Linked DNA regions of Lepisosteus oculatus. The protein of the gene in region 1 purifies or fractionates together with the protein of each later gene. This does not show direct contact. Links are inferred from orthologs where the notes say so. Each region holds a gene or a part of one and is shown in the gene's direction. Other genes may lie near its edges.

Region 1 (7,314 bases):
AGGTGTAACAACAATGAAATGCTGGAGAAACAACAATGTAAACATCATGGCAAACACCCACTTTGGTTTTGTTTTAAATCCCTAATGTTAATTCTGAATTTGTGAAAAAAAATCTATGAGGCCACAGACACAAAACTAAAGCGAAACATGACCAATTCTTCTTTGGCATGGCCTAATGAGGTAAATACGTGTTTGACAGAAGATGAGCCCAGCATGCACAAAACCACCACTGCTCGTTTACCTTTAAGCTCCTGGGTGGAATGGGATTTTTCAGTAAAGTACTAACAAGAAGAAATACATGCAGCTATCAGGGTGAAAGTATGCTGCTTTGTAATTGGGATTTTCATGACCAATTCTGCCAGAAGCTAAAAACAGCTGGTAAGAACTTACTTTATCTCTACGCTCAAGAAGATGAAGAAAGCCTTCGTTGCATTAAGTCAATAAAGATCCTTTCCCCAGGAAGCGCAGTGTCCTGGTTTAGAGTTTCTTTTTGAAGGGATGGCTTGTGCACTGCAGAGAGACAGACAGTAACTGCGAGACTTGGGCCTTTGATTTTAGGAATCACTTGAAATTTTGGGAAAACAGACAGAAACCTTACCGAAACAGGCAAAAGAATAAACGATTCGATTCCACTTAATGTTTTTCAGCCTCTACAATATCAGTGGGTATTGATAATTCAGTCTCTGATGTACCCTTGTTTTTTGAGTAAACCTTAAAAGCATTGTTTAAAACATCGTAACACGTTCTGTGTCTTTTAGGAAAAAACTCTTTAATAATATATCAAAACATACTCATAAACCACCACCAGGCTGCATCTCACAGTCCAGATTAAACATGCAAGAAGACCTTACAGTGCTGCAAGAAGTATCTACTTATACAGGAATGATCACTGAGGTAACATTTCACAATTCAACTGCACATCAGGCAATAAGTCCTTTGTTTGGTAGAACCTGGAAGATTAGTAAGAGAACAACTTGAAAAAAATGAAAAAATGGATTTGCAAATTGAAAATAAAACATTTTTTTTCTGTTGTTAAATAGCTCTGTCTAGCTCTGTCTTCATATATACAGTAAAGTTTCATTTGTACCTTGTGTATGTTAAAAACAACATCTATGTTTATAAGCTTATGTTTTCCTTTAACTAGACATTAACAAGGATAACAGAAGTTGAAATCTATCAAATAAATTATTGGACCATAATCGAATATGATATTAAAACCGTGAAAATATCTATAGTCCAATAAGTATTCCATCTAGAAATGAACATATCATTAACATATTATACTAATTTAATTTTCAACAAATAACAAAATGACATTTAAAGCCTTTTAAACAACAACTTAAGTCAACAACATCAACAGTCAGAATAATGTGTGCATCGATTTGAAGACAAAAAGGAATTATACTACTTGAAATCTTCAATTGTAATACCTACTTATTTTTCACACAGTCATTTCAATGAATGGACACAGCAAACTAAATAATGGACTATCAGAAAATATTAAAGTTTACTGTGATAAATGTTATTACTCTGAGATATTCGTTAACTCCTGATGAATAATTTAAGTTTTAAGTGAAAATACAAATGTACATTTCTTAATTATGAGTTCTCAAAGATGATAAAAATTATAACAATTATAACTCACTTAAAAGTGAAAATAGTCTAAAGCTATTCAACAAGATACAAAGATGTTAAATCACGGTCTAAGCAATCAAGACCACAAACAATAATATCAGTGAAAGAAGTTGTGCTCTTCACTTTTAATTGAACACATTTAACCCTTTGTCTGTCTGCTCAACCAAGCAGCTGAGACGTGTTCACCACAGGGTATCATTATTTTGTATGGGAAAATATGAATTCCTTATTTTCTCAACTTTGGCTCAGTGAAGTGTCAACTGAAGGAGTCTGACGTTTTTTTTTTCTGTCTAAATTCTATTTCCATGAGTGACAGTTAAAAGGTTCAGATTTTTTTAAAACTTAAATAAATGTCCAAGGAACACAGAGGGAACTCTAGGATGTGGGAGTAAGCAGCTCGCTCTATATTTAAAGCAATATTTTACTTTGCCCAGGAGAAACAGCCCCAACACATTGCACCCCACATCTTTCCTAGGTGCATGTCCACATACTGTAGTTGCCCATGGTGATGTTTCTGTGCTCACCCCCCAACATGAAGACAAAATGCAAGGAAAAAATAATTGTAATTGGTGTTTATTTATCAGTGACATTATATAATGTGTTGTTGTATGCCTTTTGAATTTAAGAAATTTAATTGGAGCTCTGGGGAAACTCATCAGGTGTATAACAGTCACAATGATCAATACACATTGGTCTTTCTGGAATTGTCTATATAGCCCAGGGTTTCTGAAGTTGATGTGCACTGTTGATGTGCTACAAAAAGCATTTTATGGTTTTCTTAATATACCTCAATTGAAAGGTCTGTATTTTAGTAATTTTTGTCTCACAAAACCACTCATTTACTTCTTCAATCATTGGAATTGGTATTTCTGCATGTACAAAACATACATGAACAAGAGAAGATTACACATTGAATGGAACTCATGACTGTGAACATTAAGGTGGTCATATACCATTCAAACCGTTGGTTTTAAATCATTGTATGAAAACTGTACAAATGAGGCCTGGCATGTGTCTGTTCTGTCTAGTTACAAATTACAAACCAAATACTCAGTACAGAGACTTCATCTACACACAAAACAGAATGCTTCTATCACATAGACTCTTTAGTTTCCAGTTTTTGCAGGCAGCTTGATTTTATTTAGGCCCAAGTTTTAGAAAAAAAATCTCCATAAACCTTTATATTATAGGCTAATATATGATCTCTAAATAAATCTATTTTTTTACAGTTTGATGACTTTTCATATACCCTTTTAATTACTCCCCTAGAAACCAGAAATTTGAAATTGTTAAGACGATCCTTATGTGTACTGTATATAACTGATCCTATTGAAAGAAGAGAGAAAATTGTAAACAATACAATACACACAATGTAGCCTCAGCTATAATCCCTATATATCGCTATCCACACACCAGATCTTCAGATCTTCCTAAAGCCAAACACTAAAGCTGAATGTCAATGGGAAGCATATATTTAACTTTTTAAATATTTTGCATTTGCCAGGTATAGACAAGATTAACAAAAAGAAAGAGATTTCTAATTCAATAGTGTAAATTGTGGGTGTGCAAAGAGTAAAAAAAACATTTGTCTTTGTAAAAATTCTTAGAAACAAACAAAATCTTAAAACATCTGCTTAATGTGTAATGAATATCCATTACATTTTGTTAGATTGGTATTCATGCATCTAATTAATATTTTAATCTACAGTTGGGATATTTTGCAGAAACATTACTCACATTTATGATAGAATGCTAACAGAGATGGAATTAACAAGTAAATTAATGTCACAATCACATTTAAGGACTTGTAGATGTTAATTCAAGTTAACTAGGGAGCAGCTGGTCTCAGTAGAACAAAGATTTCATTAGAACATACAATGGAAATGAAATTTAAATATGGCTTTTTGCCTCCTTCCATTATTTTCTAGTAGAACATAGTGCAGAACAAAGTTTCACTGGATACTAGGGTCACTAGATACATTTCACAATCCACGTAAATTTTAAAGTACTATAATGAAACATTGGTTATGTTGAGTAAAGCGCAAAGTACAGTATATATTACATATCTGACCACAAGTAAACAAACATATATTCTCCCTTCTAAAGTTTTCTTTCATGAAAAAAGAATATGATCACAAGAGATGGAAATATGGTTGTTACGCTATGTCGCTTTATGTTGATGCCAAATATGTTTTTTAAGAAAAGAGCTTATTCTGCTCCTTTATTCTTATTTATAATGGGAATAATAATTTATATTTAGTTACTTTCACTAAATGCCTATACAAGCGTTTCTATTCACACATACTTATGTAAGATTAATGAAAGTTTACAGGCTTTCGTGGACAAAGTGCTGTGTGATTGATTTCTTTTTAACTTAGTCAAACAGAAGAGTTTGCTCCAGGACACTCATTGCTCAGACATCAAAATGGAAGAAGTCTTTTGCCCATAACACTGCGGGTCAACAGATACCGGTAAAGTATGGAAAAAAATGGTATCGTTCTTAACAAACGCACCACACACAGATATGAATGGAAACACCAACCACTTGGTGCTGTCATACAAACTTTTTGAAAACTCGTCACTTTCCCAGCGTTGCGGAGTTTTTGTACAGGCTCAGTGGTGACTTGCGCCCCGCCCCTTTCCTCCGGGAATGCTGGGATGTTTACATTACTGGCACTGAGCAGGAATGGGGAGCAGCTGAGGCACAATCCCTCAACACAAATCACACTTTTCAACTAACTTTAGAAGTTCAGACGGTAAAATTTTAAATCCGAATGGTAGGCTGCCACGCAGAAGCGGCCCACGAACTCCACTGCAGACCTTGAAAAAAGTAATCGAAAAGGCAACCGCCATCAGAAGTCCCAGCAGTGAAAACACACCACTTCCTGGTAAGAAACCCCAAGAAACTGTGAATACGCTTCGCATGCTTGGCTTCAAAAATATTTTCTAAGTGGCCTTTCAGTTTTCTGTGGCGGAAGAAAGTTCATTTCGTGCTAAAACGTCGATGAAGTGAAATACTATCCTTCTTTTTTACTCTGGATCACGTTTTCTTAATATCTAAAAGTTCATTTTTAGTTCACTGTCATGGATTCCCCACTGTAACTAAGAGAAACGGACCTACAGCTACCGTGGTTGACTTACAGACTAAACTAACTTTATAAATGAAGTCCCACCATTCGGTCTGTTGGGCTTTCGCAACGTTTTAGAAGTGCGAATCTTTATCTAGCCACATGTACACTATTTTGCTCACACTGTGCTATTAACAACGATGGTATTTATAGGCCGTATAAATATAAGAGGTGGTGGATATTGTGGACAGCACAGTACGTTTGTCTGTGACTGTGAAAGCCAGTATTGACGCTCTATTAACAATATAGACACACATAGAAAAAAAAACAATATTTCAAGCCTTTAAGAGAGCAGTCTTGAACAGGTTTGACAATAGGGCCATCCCACCCTGATTTCAGGATGACTCATGCATATATCAGCCTAATTCCTTTTTTCTCCTATATTGATATAACTATAGCCTTATTACTTTTTTTTTCTCTCAACTGAACCAAGCAATAGGATAACAGCTGCGGACATCAGGTGGGTAGGGATTAGACGTACTACAATGTTTGAATTTATAAACTGTAGCTCTTGTACATGTATGAGAAAGCCACATGGAAGCAAGGGTTTTCCATCATTGCAAGAAAATAAATCTTGATTCTCCTGTGCTACATGAATAACATAAAATAAATAAAATAAAAAAGGAAATAGAATGTGCATAGTTAAAGCTGTGTGGGGCAGACATATGTCAGTCTTTCACCAATGGGAATGAAAACCATTTTGAGACAGTTCCTGCTATAAACATCTCTTGCACCAATGGGAGCAAAAATCATTTTGTGACTGTTCCTGCCATAAAGGTCTTTTCCACTGATGGGAACAAAAATCATTTTGTGACTGTTTCTGCTATGAAGATCTCTGGGGAAATGTGTAACATTGCACATCAGTGTAGCTTATAAAATTGACATAAACTAGTGATAGTGGCCTTATTGACAGAAGCTTGAGACAGACAGCGTGGAGTGCGAGCAGTTGTACATTCTCAGTGAATCAGGTCATGTGTGACCCAGTTAAACAGCAGATTGTAGGAGAACATTCCCCCTCCCCTTTCTTTCTGCCTTCTTCATACTTGGCCTTTGAACCTATGATTTAAAGCTTCACTGCCCGAGGTCATACACTGAAACGTGTGTTAGCACAAGACAGTTTTATGTTTTTAGGCATTTTCACTTGATCACGTCAGGTAATATCCATAAAACCTTGTGGGAATTCATGATGTCTTCAGGAGAGTTGCAGTTGCAGTGTGAAGCGATTGGAGAGCAAAACTTGCTACCGACAAGAAGAAGAGGCCTCTCAGCCCAAACAGCCCATTTGCTAGTTAGCAACTAATTGGATCATCCCCCAGCCCTTTCTTGATAGAAGCCAGGCTGTCGGCTTCAACAAATCTGATTCTCAGATTCCCAGCTGATTGGGTAGCTTGTTCCATACCCCCACAGTGCTTTGCGTAAAGAAGTGCCTCCTGTTCTCTTGTTTCAAATGCATTTCCATGTATGTTCCACTTGGAACCTTTAACACAAAGCAGAGGACACAAGTGGAAAACTACTAAAATGGTATTCAGAAATTTCAGCAATGGAACACTTAGGTTGTAAGTCAGCTGTTGTAACAATAATGTTTACAGTACTTTAAGAAATTATTCTTTACAGTATAGACCTTAGTAAAGGACCAATTTTATTAGCATTAGCCTGGGAGAGACCAAGACACACACTAATGGTCTGTCTAATGCTGACCACCTCTTTCACTTGCATGTTATTTTGTGTCAGTCTTAAAATCGACATACCGTACTTAGTGTTAAACCCCAGCTCTGAGGGTGTCTGGCCATCGCTGATCACCCTGCTCATCCTGTGCAGTGCTGTTACTAATGGTCCTCTCATGTTAGTTCCTAGCCATGATGAGCTATTTGCACCCAGTAGCCTGCATTTCAACCAGCAACCTGTTTAGGGTCTGTGCTGTCCCATGGGAAGCAGGGTGACCCACATTGTAGATCTCTCTGCAGCATTTTCTGAGACTAGGGTAGTCGAAAAGAGTAACGCAAAACAAGATGAAAATAGCTCAGCCTGTTGATACCCTTTATCGTGGATCTGTGCCTTTAAGAACAACATAAAGCAGATATAAATAGATAATACTTTATTTAACAAGATACTGTAAGTCAGTTGACTAAATTGTTTTTTTCTGTACATTGATGATCTGGTGAAGAGGCTTGCACTAAGGTTCTCCAGAGAATATTTAGAATTGAATATGTTTGCTTAAAAACCTATTTAAAATAAAGTTCCGGGCAAGAGAGATGTTTGCTTTTCATTGGTAGCAAAGGTTGTTAGGCGCAGACCACTTCAGCCATGGCTTGCAAAGTGGTCTGGTTGGAGGCCCCTGGACTGGGCTGGAAAAAGAATTTGTAACATTCTTTATTTTACAGAAATAAGTGGTTGACCAGTCAGATTTTATTCTCTGCTTTCTGACATTCTAGAGTTATTGCTCAATCTTGAGCAATGTTTTTTTGTGATTGTTACCTGGCATCTTCAGCCATTATTGTTTAAGCAGTTATGTATTTTTTTAAAACGTTCTGTGTGTTCAAGCAATTGTTCT
Region 2 (7,451 bases), on another chromosome or scaffold:
TTCAACATTTGTTTTCCTGGAAGGCATATCCTGCACAGGACCATCTCCACTGTTCTGCACTGAACAGTCTTCTCCAGCACTGTTCACAGAGAGGTTAATCTCAGAAGCTGGAAAGCTCGGTATTGTGGCACAATTCCCAGAAATCCTGGGCCTCCTGGCTTGGCTGGTGCCTAATGTCTCACCCTCCTGAGCTCCAACAGAGACACAGGCAAGTGAAGGGGATTCTGCAAGTCTTAGGAACGCAGCAGATGTGTCAGCATTGGTTTGATGGTTTGTCGCTGGCTCCTCTTCCCTTGCTACAGCTGGTCTTGCACTCAGGCTGGAGTTGATCTGCACTGACACTGCTGTTGCTGCCACATTGTGAGCTTCAAAGGTTCCTGGCACCAGGTCATCAGATATCTTGCAGACAAGTTCATCTTGGGTGCTCTGAGGGGATGGATTGTCCTTGGTCCAGCACTCCCTAACAGGCGTCCTAACAGATTCTAAGAGCTCCTAGTGCAGTGACAAAACACAATAAAGGCCTGTTATTTTAATGGCCACAAGAAAACAGGAACACATCCTTTGCCTCTGGCTCTCCTACCAATTAAATGATGTTTTACTTCAAATCCAACAGTCTTACAAGTATCGATGCAAGCAAGATGTTATTACCACAAATACCACAATCTTATTCCCTTAATAATAGAGATGATAAGAAAAGGTTCAAATCATTCCTGCAGCCTTTTTCTCTATGCATACCTCCCGTGTTATACTATGTGAATTTTAGAACTTTACATCTGAAGCTCCTATGATTCCAGCTGCTGGGCCTTTTATTACTAATAAAATACTCGTATTTTCTTCTAAAGCCAATATGGACAAAGGTGTTCGTCAGATAGAGATAAATCTACAGAGATAGCTAAATAGACAGCCGTACATAGGCGTTAAAAATAAATAAAGGTACATTTTAAAAGAGGTGCGAATCAAAATAATTTCCTTCATGGCCTTCCTAAAATGAAGACGTTCTAATGATGGGTCATTCAAATTACCTCGACCTCCGCATCCCCCAGTGACAAACTGTCAGGATTCTCTGGCTGTCCAGGGAGGAGAGTGGCTGGTGTTCGGCGAAATATCGGCACGTCCTCCTCACAGTCTGACTGCAGCAAGATGAACAAGACCCAGAGGATTCGGTTTCAGAAGCTGGGTTTCTCGGAGCCGGTACCACACCAGCCCCAAGTACTACCACGCAGCCACCACGACCCGCTTTCCTAAAAACCAACCCGGTGAAGCCGATTCTCAGTTCATCACCCAACAGTCTCGGAGTGTTTTGAAGGAGCCATAATCAACACTTTTAGATTCATAATAATAATTGCTTACACTTATATAGCGCTTTTTCTGGACACTCCACTCAAAGCGCTTTACAGGTAATGGGGACTCCCCTCCACCACCACCAATGTGCAGCCCCACCTGGATGATGCGACGGCAGCCATAGTGCGCCAGAACGCTCACCACACATCAGCTATCAGTGGGGAGGAGAGCAGAGTAATGAAGCCAATTCACAGAGGGGGATTGTTAGGAGGCCATGATTGATAAAGGCCGATGGGGAAATTTGGCCAGGATGCCGGGGTTACACCCCTACTCTTTTCGAGAAACACCCTGGGATTTTTAATGACCACAGAGAGTCAGGACCTCGGTTTAACGTCTCATCCGAAGGACGGCGCCTGTTTACAGTATAGTGTCCCCGTCACTACACTGGGGCATTAGGACCCACATGAGCCACAAGGTGAGCGCCCCCTGCTGGCCCCACTAACGCCTCTTCCAGCAGCAACCTTAGTTTTTCCCAGGAGGTCTCCCTTCCAGGTACTGACCAGGCTCACACCTGCTTAGCTTCAGTGGGCTGCTAGCTGGGAGTTTCAGGGTGATATGGCTGCTGGTCATATTTGAACAACTAATGGTTTCTTCCACACTGAAATATAGAAAAGAGAAGCAACATTCCAGCTGTTGCATCTTCTCCACACTTGAAAACAAAAAGGCGAAAGATTTTAATTGTTGGGCCTTCTTCAAGTGTAAAGAAACCCCAACAACCAAGAGGTTCCGTTTCACCTTACTGTCAGATTAACCTTGATCTGTTCCTTTTGCAGCAGAAGCCTGTCTGCGCAAATCCCTACTCAAACTTTTAATTTGGGTACCTTTTTAGGTTTTGCCTTGTAAGCGAGAGACGGTCACAAGAACGTGTTTGCTGGAATCAGGCGTGATGCATTGAGTGGCAGATCTGAAGAGACAGATCCCCTAATGGAAAGGGCAGGGTGAACAAAATATTTTTCTCGAATTATACTTAAGGCTCTTTGTTTTCGATGTTGTAGTATTTGTTGTTGTTTTTTTATTGAAAAACAGTTCTTAAAATAAACACCATAAACAAATCACAAACAACCAAAATACACATTATCAATAATAACAACCGAAGTCATGTCAACCATGGTTACCTTTTCCTTTTAACCCTAATTAATGGTCAAAGAATCTTCAATAGACTCTGGTTTAGTTAAATTTCTTAATTGGCTTCTAGGTTTAGGGTGTTGTTTTATTAACCGGATTTATTGTAGGCCTTATACTTACGATTACACGCTCGAGTTGAAAAATTTGTGTGGGAGTCTCTTTCAAAGCCAGTGAAAGGACGTGGAGGGCTAATTCGACAAACAGCAGGATTGAAGGGCAAGTGAAATTTATTTAATTAGCGTCCCTAGCAAACTGCTTGAATGCTTGAGGCAAACAGCAGCTGAGGCGTTAAATAGGACGCTGCTCAATTTTACAGACTTTTAACGTTTTCATCTAAGATGCAGCTCGGCGAAAGGTAAAGTTAAAAGGGTGTCATGTGAAGATAAAAAAAAAACACCGAAAACGGGGATCCCTTTTATGTCATTCATTTTAAACGCACAATCAGAAGTAATGCTGCAATTGGAGACGTGCAGTTAACCGAAAACTGTGCCAGATCCAATCCGCTGTCTGAGAGTGCATTAATTGTACAAATCGTGAAACATTTCATTACTGATGAACCAAGGGCAATCTCTTAAGACCTCTGGTCGAAAACCGTATGCTTGGTCACAAGACTACATTTTACTGTAACTCTTGAACAGAGAGTTACCCACAGTAACTTCGTGTATTAGGTATACATTATACAATACTGCAGTGGTAAACCACTACAGGGGACAGCTACCTTCGGGTTTATACTGACCCATTGCTGAAAATAGAGAATACCGATACACAATACCCTTTACCAACTCCAAAGGGTCCTACTGAATAATAGCGTCTCACAACTTATCTACAAAACTGTTCATAACCGTAAATCGTGCTGCCCATGGTCTTACTCCGGAGGAGGTATCGGAGTCGAGGGAGGGGATGAAGTCCTTCACGCTGGCAAATATCGAGTCCCAGTCCGGCCGGGCACCGGGGCGCTCCGAGCTCATCTTCAGCAGCTGCCGAAGGAAATCAGTAAATCCTAAAACACTGATCACCACATTAACAACTGCTGCACACTACCCCCCCCCCAAAAAAAAGTTAAAGAAAAGGGTGCTAACCACGAACGTCATCCCCAAAACAAGTGCATACATTTTAACCGACAGCACGAAGTGCCCAGTGAGCAGCTCGAATGACGCAAATGCAGGCAGTTGAAACAATTTTAAAAAGGGTGCGAGATGTGTACCTTAGTTCTTCAACACGTTAAAAACAGACGCAATATCATGAGCTGTGTTTCGCCCAAGTGTCCGATAGCATTTCCGATGTTTTAACACGCAGAAAGTCTTCAACAGAAAACTTACAGCCGCAGTCACTTCTTGCAATTAACACACGCAGCTGCGCAGCTTCTCGGTTACCAAGGCAACACAAGGTGCGCCACTGCGCTTCCCAATCCAGGAAATGTATAGAAACCCAGTTTCTAGAGATAATGTATTACTCCTTCACTATAAAGATGCTAAATACCTATTGCTGGCTAAGCAGGCCAATGTCTTTCATTTAAGGAATGTCAATTTATTTTACTCCTTTCCTTTAAGACTCTTTATTAAACACCCTCAAACTAATTTACAGTTGTAGACACTGCAAGGTCCTTCAAGCAAAAAAAACTATCTTTCGTAGTTATTTTTCTAAATAAAAATCCTAGGTTATTATTATTATTTGTTTTTTATTATTGCTTTAAAAAAATCCAGAACTACATTGCGTATAAAAGACCTTGTGTCCGTTAATTTCAAGATATTACAGCAGGCTCTTGATGTCACAAAAAAAATACTTTGGATTGGATATGACGCAGGGTCATCGAGGGGGCCTCACGGGAAATGTAGTTTATTGCAGATTAGTTCCTCCCTGTAGTTCTTCAAAGTGAGAAAAGGGAATGACTACAGATCCCAGCTTTTAAGGAAAGCAATTTCCTGGAGCGAAGGTGCAAATATACGAGTGACTTTGTAACTTGGGTTTGTTTATTGAGGTGGCGAGTGGTTGATCGGCAAGCCCTGAAACGTCCATTACGTGGAGATCAGACAAAGACCACAGCAAGTTGAGTGATAAGGTATTTAATCTTTTTTTTTTTCTCGAGGCTACACGGAAGCATTTTCACGGATCAAATGCACTTGTGATGAAGTGTTTGACGGACAGCAAGAGGGTAGAGTTCGGTACATGGAATTAATCGATGAAACTTAGCCACTTGCTTCGAGACTCGACTTAGTTCGGGGTCCATTATTTCTTTTCCGATAACCAATCCAGGGTCGCGGGAACTCCGATCCCAGCCCGACACACAATGGGCAGGATTAGTACTGGACGGGATGCCTTTCCATCGTAGGGCACGCATACATAGTCTCTCTCGTACACATAGGCGGAAAATTTAGAGATCCCAGTTTACATACTGTAGACAGCTAATCTTAAGACTGCGAGAGGAAACCAGAATACGCGGAGAAAGTCCACACGAACAAGGGAGAGATCATGCTAGCTCCACACAGACGGCATTTAAGACCAGATTCAAACTCGGGACGTAACCATTGCGAAACAACCGCTATACACAGGCGCTGCATTCAACTTAAAATAGCTAGGGGACTAGACGGTCGCACAAAAATTGTATGTTTTTCTTAACCGAAATGTTAATTAGATGTTCACAAACAAAGCTGATGATTGAATTTGTGTGAAATCGCACCACAGATACACTGATAGCACAAAATAGCAGCAAGAAAAAACTTCAATCTAAATATTACGACCAGATAACCGAAGCTTCTTGCCAGTATTTTATTTGTAGCATCGGAATTGCTACAAATTGATATGAATTACTTCATATCATGTTACTTTTTGTCTGGCTTAGTGCGAATTAAGAGAGTGAAAAACTGTACGTTTTCCAATTGACTGGACCCCACTTAGCACACTGACTCTTCAACACTCTGTGACATTGTGGTCCACATGGAAGAGTGCCACCTTAGTGGTCCACCAACACCTCTTACCTCAGCATCCTGATTCTTCCTGGGTGCCTCCCATCCCTGTACTTACTAACCAGGTCCAGGCTTGCTTCAGAAAACAGACAGGTTCAGGCTGCTTTCTAACAAAAATCAGCAGAAAAGGAAAAGCAAAAATCAGCCAAACTCAGTGGCCAATATGGTGGTATACCAAGTGTCTTCTAGATGGTAATTGTGCTGGTTAATGAACACAGCCCGTGGGTGGACTAGGTGGGGGTTCTAGGGGGTACTGGGGGTAACGGCGAGGGAGAGCACCTGGTGAGGTGCAGCCTGACTGACGGGCCGATTTCCCCCATCAGGAGGATGTCGGAGCTGAGTGACGAGGCCAGCGAGACGGAGCAGCTGGGGGCCAGCCTGTCCGTGTGGCTGGGGGCGGCGCCGCTCGTGCACCCCGAAGAGCTGGACGTGTCGCTGGACCTGCACACGGCATGCTCCATCGGCCAGTACGACGTGGTGGCCGAGTCCATCAGCAGGTGGGAGTCGGGCCGGGGGGTTGCTGAAGCTTGCCCCAGAGGGGGTAGGACATCGGAGGATCTTTTGTTTTTTATGCTATTCTGCTATTCTGTCCCAGCCAGCAGACATCCACAGAAGAGCGCGTTTTAACCTGCCTTTGTAAAACTCGGAATCGAGGTCATTCAGTCAGACCAGTAGGGGTGAATTCCGCATTGATATGCACAGGCGTGAGGGAGAGAGACAACAGGTGCAGGAATATTCAGCACCAGAGGGGACAAAAGAAAGACCAGGTGAGAATGAGCCCTTCTGAATGAAGTGAAATCCGGAGGACGAGGTCTAGGAGAAGGGTGAAAAGCTCAAATCTGGAAATGAATGGAGAGGATGTAGAAAGGAAATTGGCTGATTATTGAGACTTGAAACTCCTGCGTTCTTCGTTTTTTTCAAGTGGTTTGTGATGGATGATGTGCTCCTAGTGTAAGGATAATCTTGGTTCCGGATGTCTTTCTGGAAGTACGAGTCCTGGAAATCCCTGCAAAAAGACACAAGGCAGGGTAGGATGTGCTCTCTCTCTCTCTGTCTGCCGGGAGAAGCAGAGACGGAGATGCGCTTTCTGCTCTCCAGAAAGAAATACAGTAGGATTAGACATCCTTCCGTTTCTACACCTGCTCGAATCAGAGCTGTCAATCCTACTGGGGAAGAGGGGGATAAAATAGACTTGAGCTGCAGTACATGATCGTCTGAGAAAAGGAGAGTGAGTCTCTGAAATAATAATAACAGTTCTGTAGTAAATGTCTTGCTAGGTCCTGCTTTGATAGCACTGTAATTCCTCAATCATACTGAGTTTGAAAGGTCAGTGTGAATTGAAGCAGGGAGCGGTAAATTGAATTGATAACAGTTCCTAACTCTTCCGTGGTCCCTCTTACCCCTCTCTGAGCTTTGTTTCCCTGTACTCTGTGTCTGCTGACGAATCTCCCCAACTGATTCTTTATTTCCGTTCACTTCACTTGCTTAAAACCTCGTAGATTAACGGGAAGCTCTGAGAATGAGCTCTGTTCAGCAGATTTCCTCTGCCGTTTTAAAACGCCTCCCCTGCATCTGGGACTGGCATCCCACGTAAGACACACTTCTTAAGATTTTAAGGATCGATGCCTCAGTGCTAATACTAATGCACAGAGAAGGATCGGCTGTGGAAAGGAACTTGCACAGAGCCTCTTGTGGTTAGAACTGCTGCCCCCTGGTGGTAAACACAGCTGGGGTGCCTTTTTGTGTGAAGTTTGTATGTTTTCTGCTTGTGCTCTTGTTTCCTTCCATCTTCCATTGACCTTATAGCTGTGGGTCCAAGTCTGGCGTCATCCTAAATTGCCTGTCTGTTAGGAGTAGAATGCAGTTCAGAACTGGTAGCGATGAGTTTCAAAGTCCGTCTGCGAGAGCGCAGGGAAACCCTTTCCATCTCGACTGGCCGACTGATCGTTTTTTTCTTCGCCGCTCAGGCGGGAGGTGGACCTGAACGGGAAGAATCGGGGCGGCTGGACGCCCCTGATGTAC

The links. The genes of interacting proteins can lie anywhere in the genome.
Region 2: the proteins of nek7 (region 1) and anks3 purify together in Homo sapiens (affinity purification with mass spectrometry; 3 studies listed by BioGRID and IntAct, with this or other methods). This does not show direct contact. The link is inferred for Lepisosteus oculatus from reciprocal best matches to the Homo sapiens genes NEK7 and ANKS3.

Annotation. Positions count from the first base shown.
Region 1 is NC_090704.1:11,709,581-11,716,894, reverse strand, and holds the start of nek7 (serine/threonine-protein kinase Nek7), read left to right. Parts: upstream 1-4,285; 5' UTR 4,286-4,523; intron 4,524-7,314. UniProt on the Homo sapiens protein: Protein kinase which plays an important role in mitotic cell cycle progression. Required for microtubule nucleation activity of the centrosome, robust mitotic spindle formation and cytokinesis.
Region 2 is NC_090714.1:7,097,181-7,104,631, reverse strand, and holds the start of anks3 (ankyrin repeat and SAM domain-containing protein 3), read left to right. Parts: upstream 1-4,366; 5' UTR 4,367-4,525; intron 4,526-4,558; exon of another isoform or gene 4,559-4,628; intron 4,629-5,441; exon of another isoform or gene 5,442-5,506; intron 5,507-5,752; 5' UTR 5,753-5,756; coding exon 5,757-5,926; intron 5,927-6,105; exon of another isoform or gene 6,106-6,196; intron 6,197-7,396; coding exon 7,397-7,451. Other genes in the region: dynein axonemal assembly factor 8, read right to left, coding at 1-492, 1,023-1,130, 3,309-3,434. UniProt on the Homo sapiens protein: May be involved in vasopressin signaling in the kidney.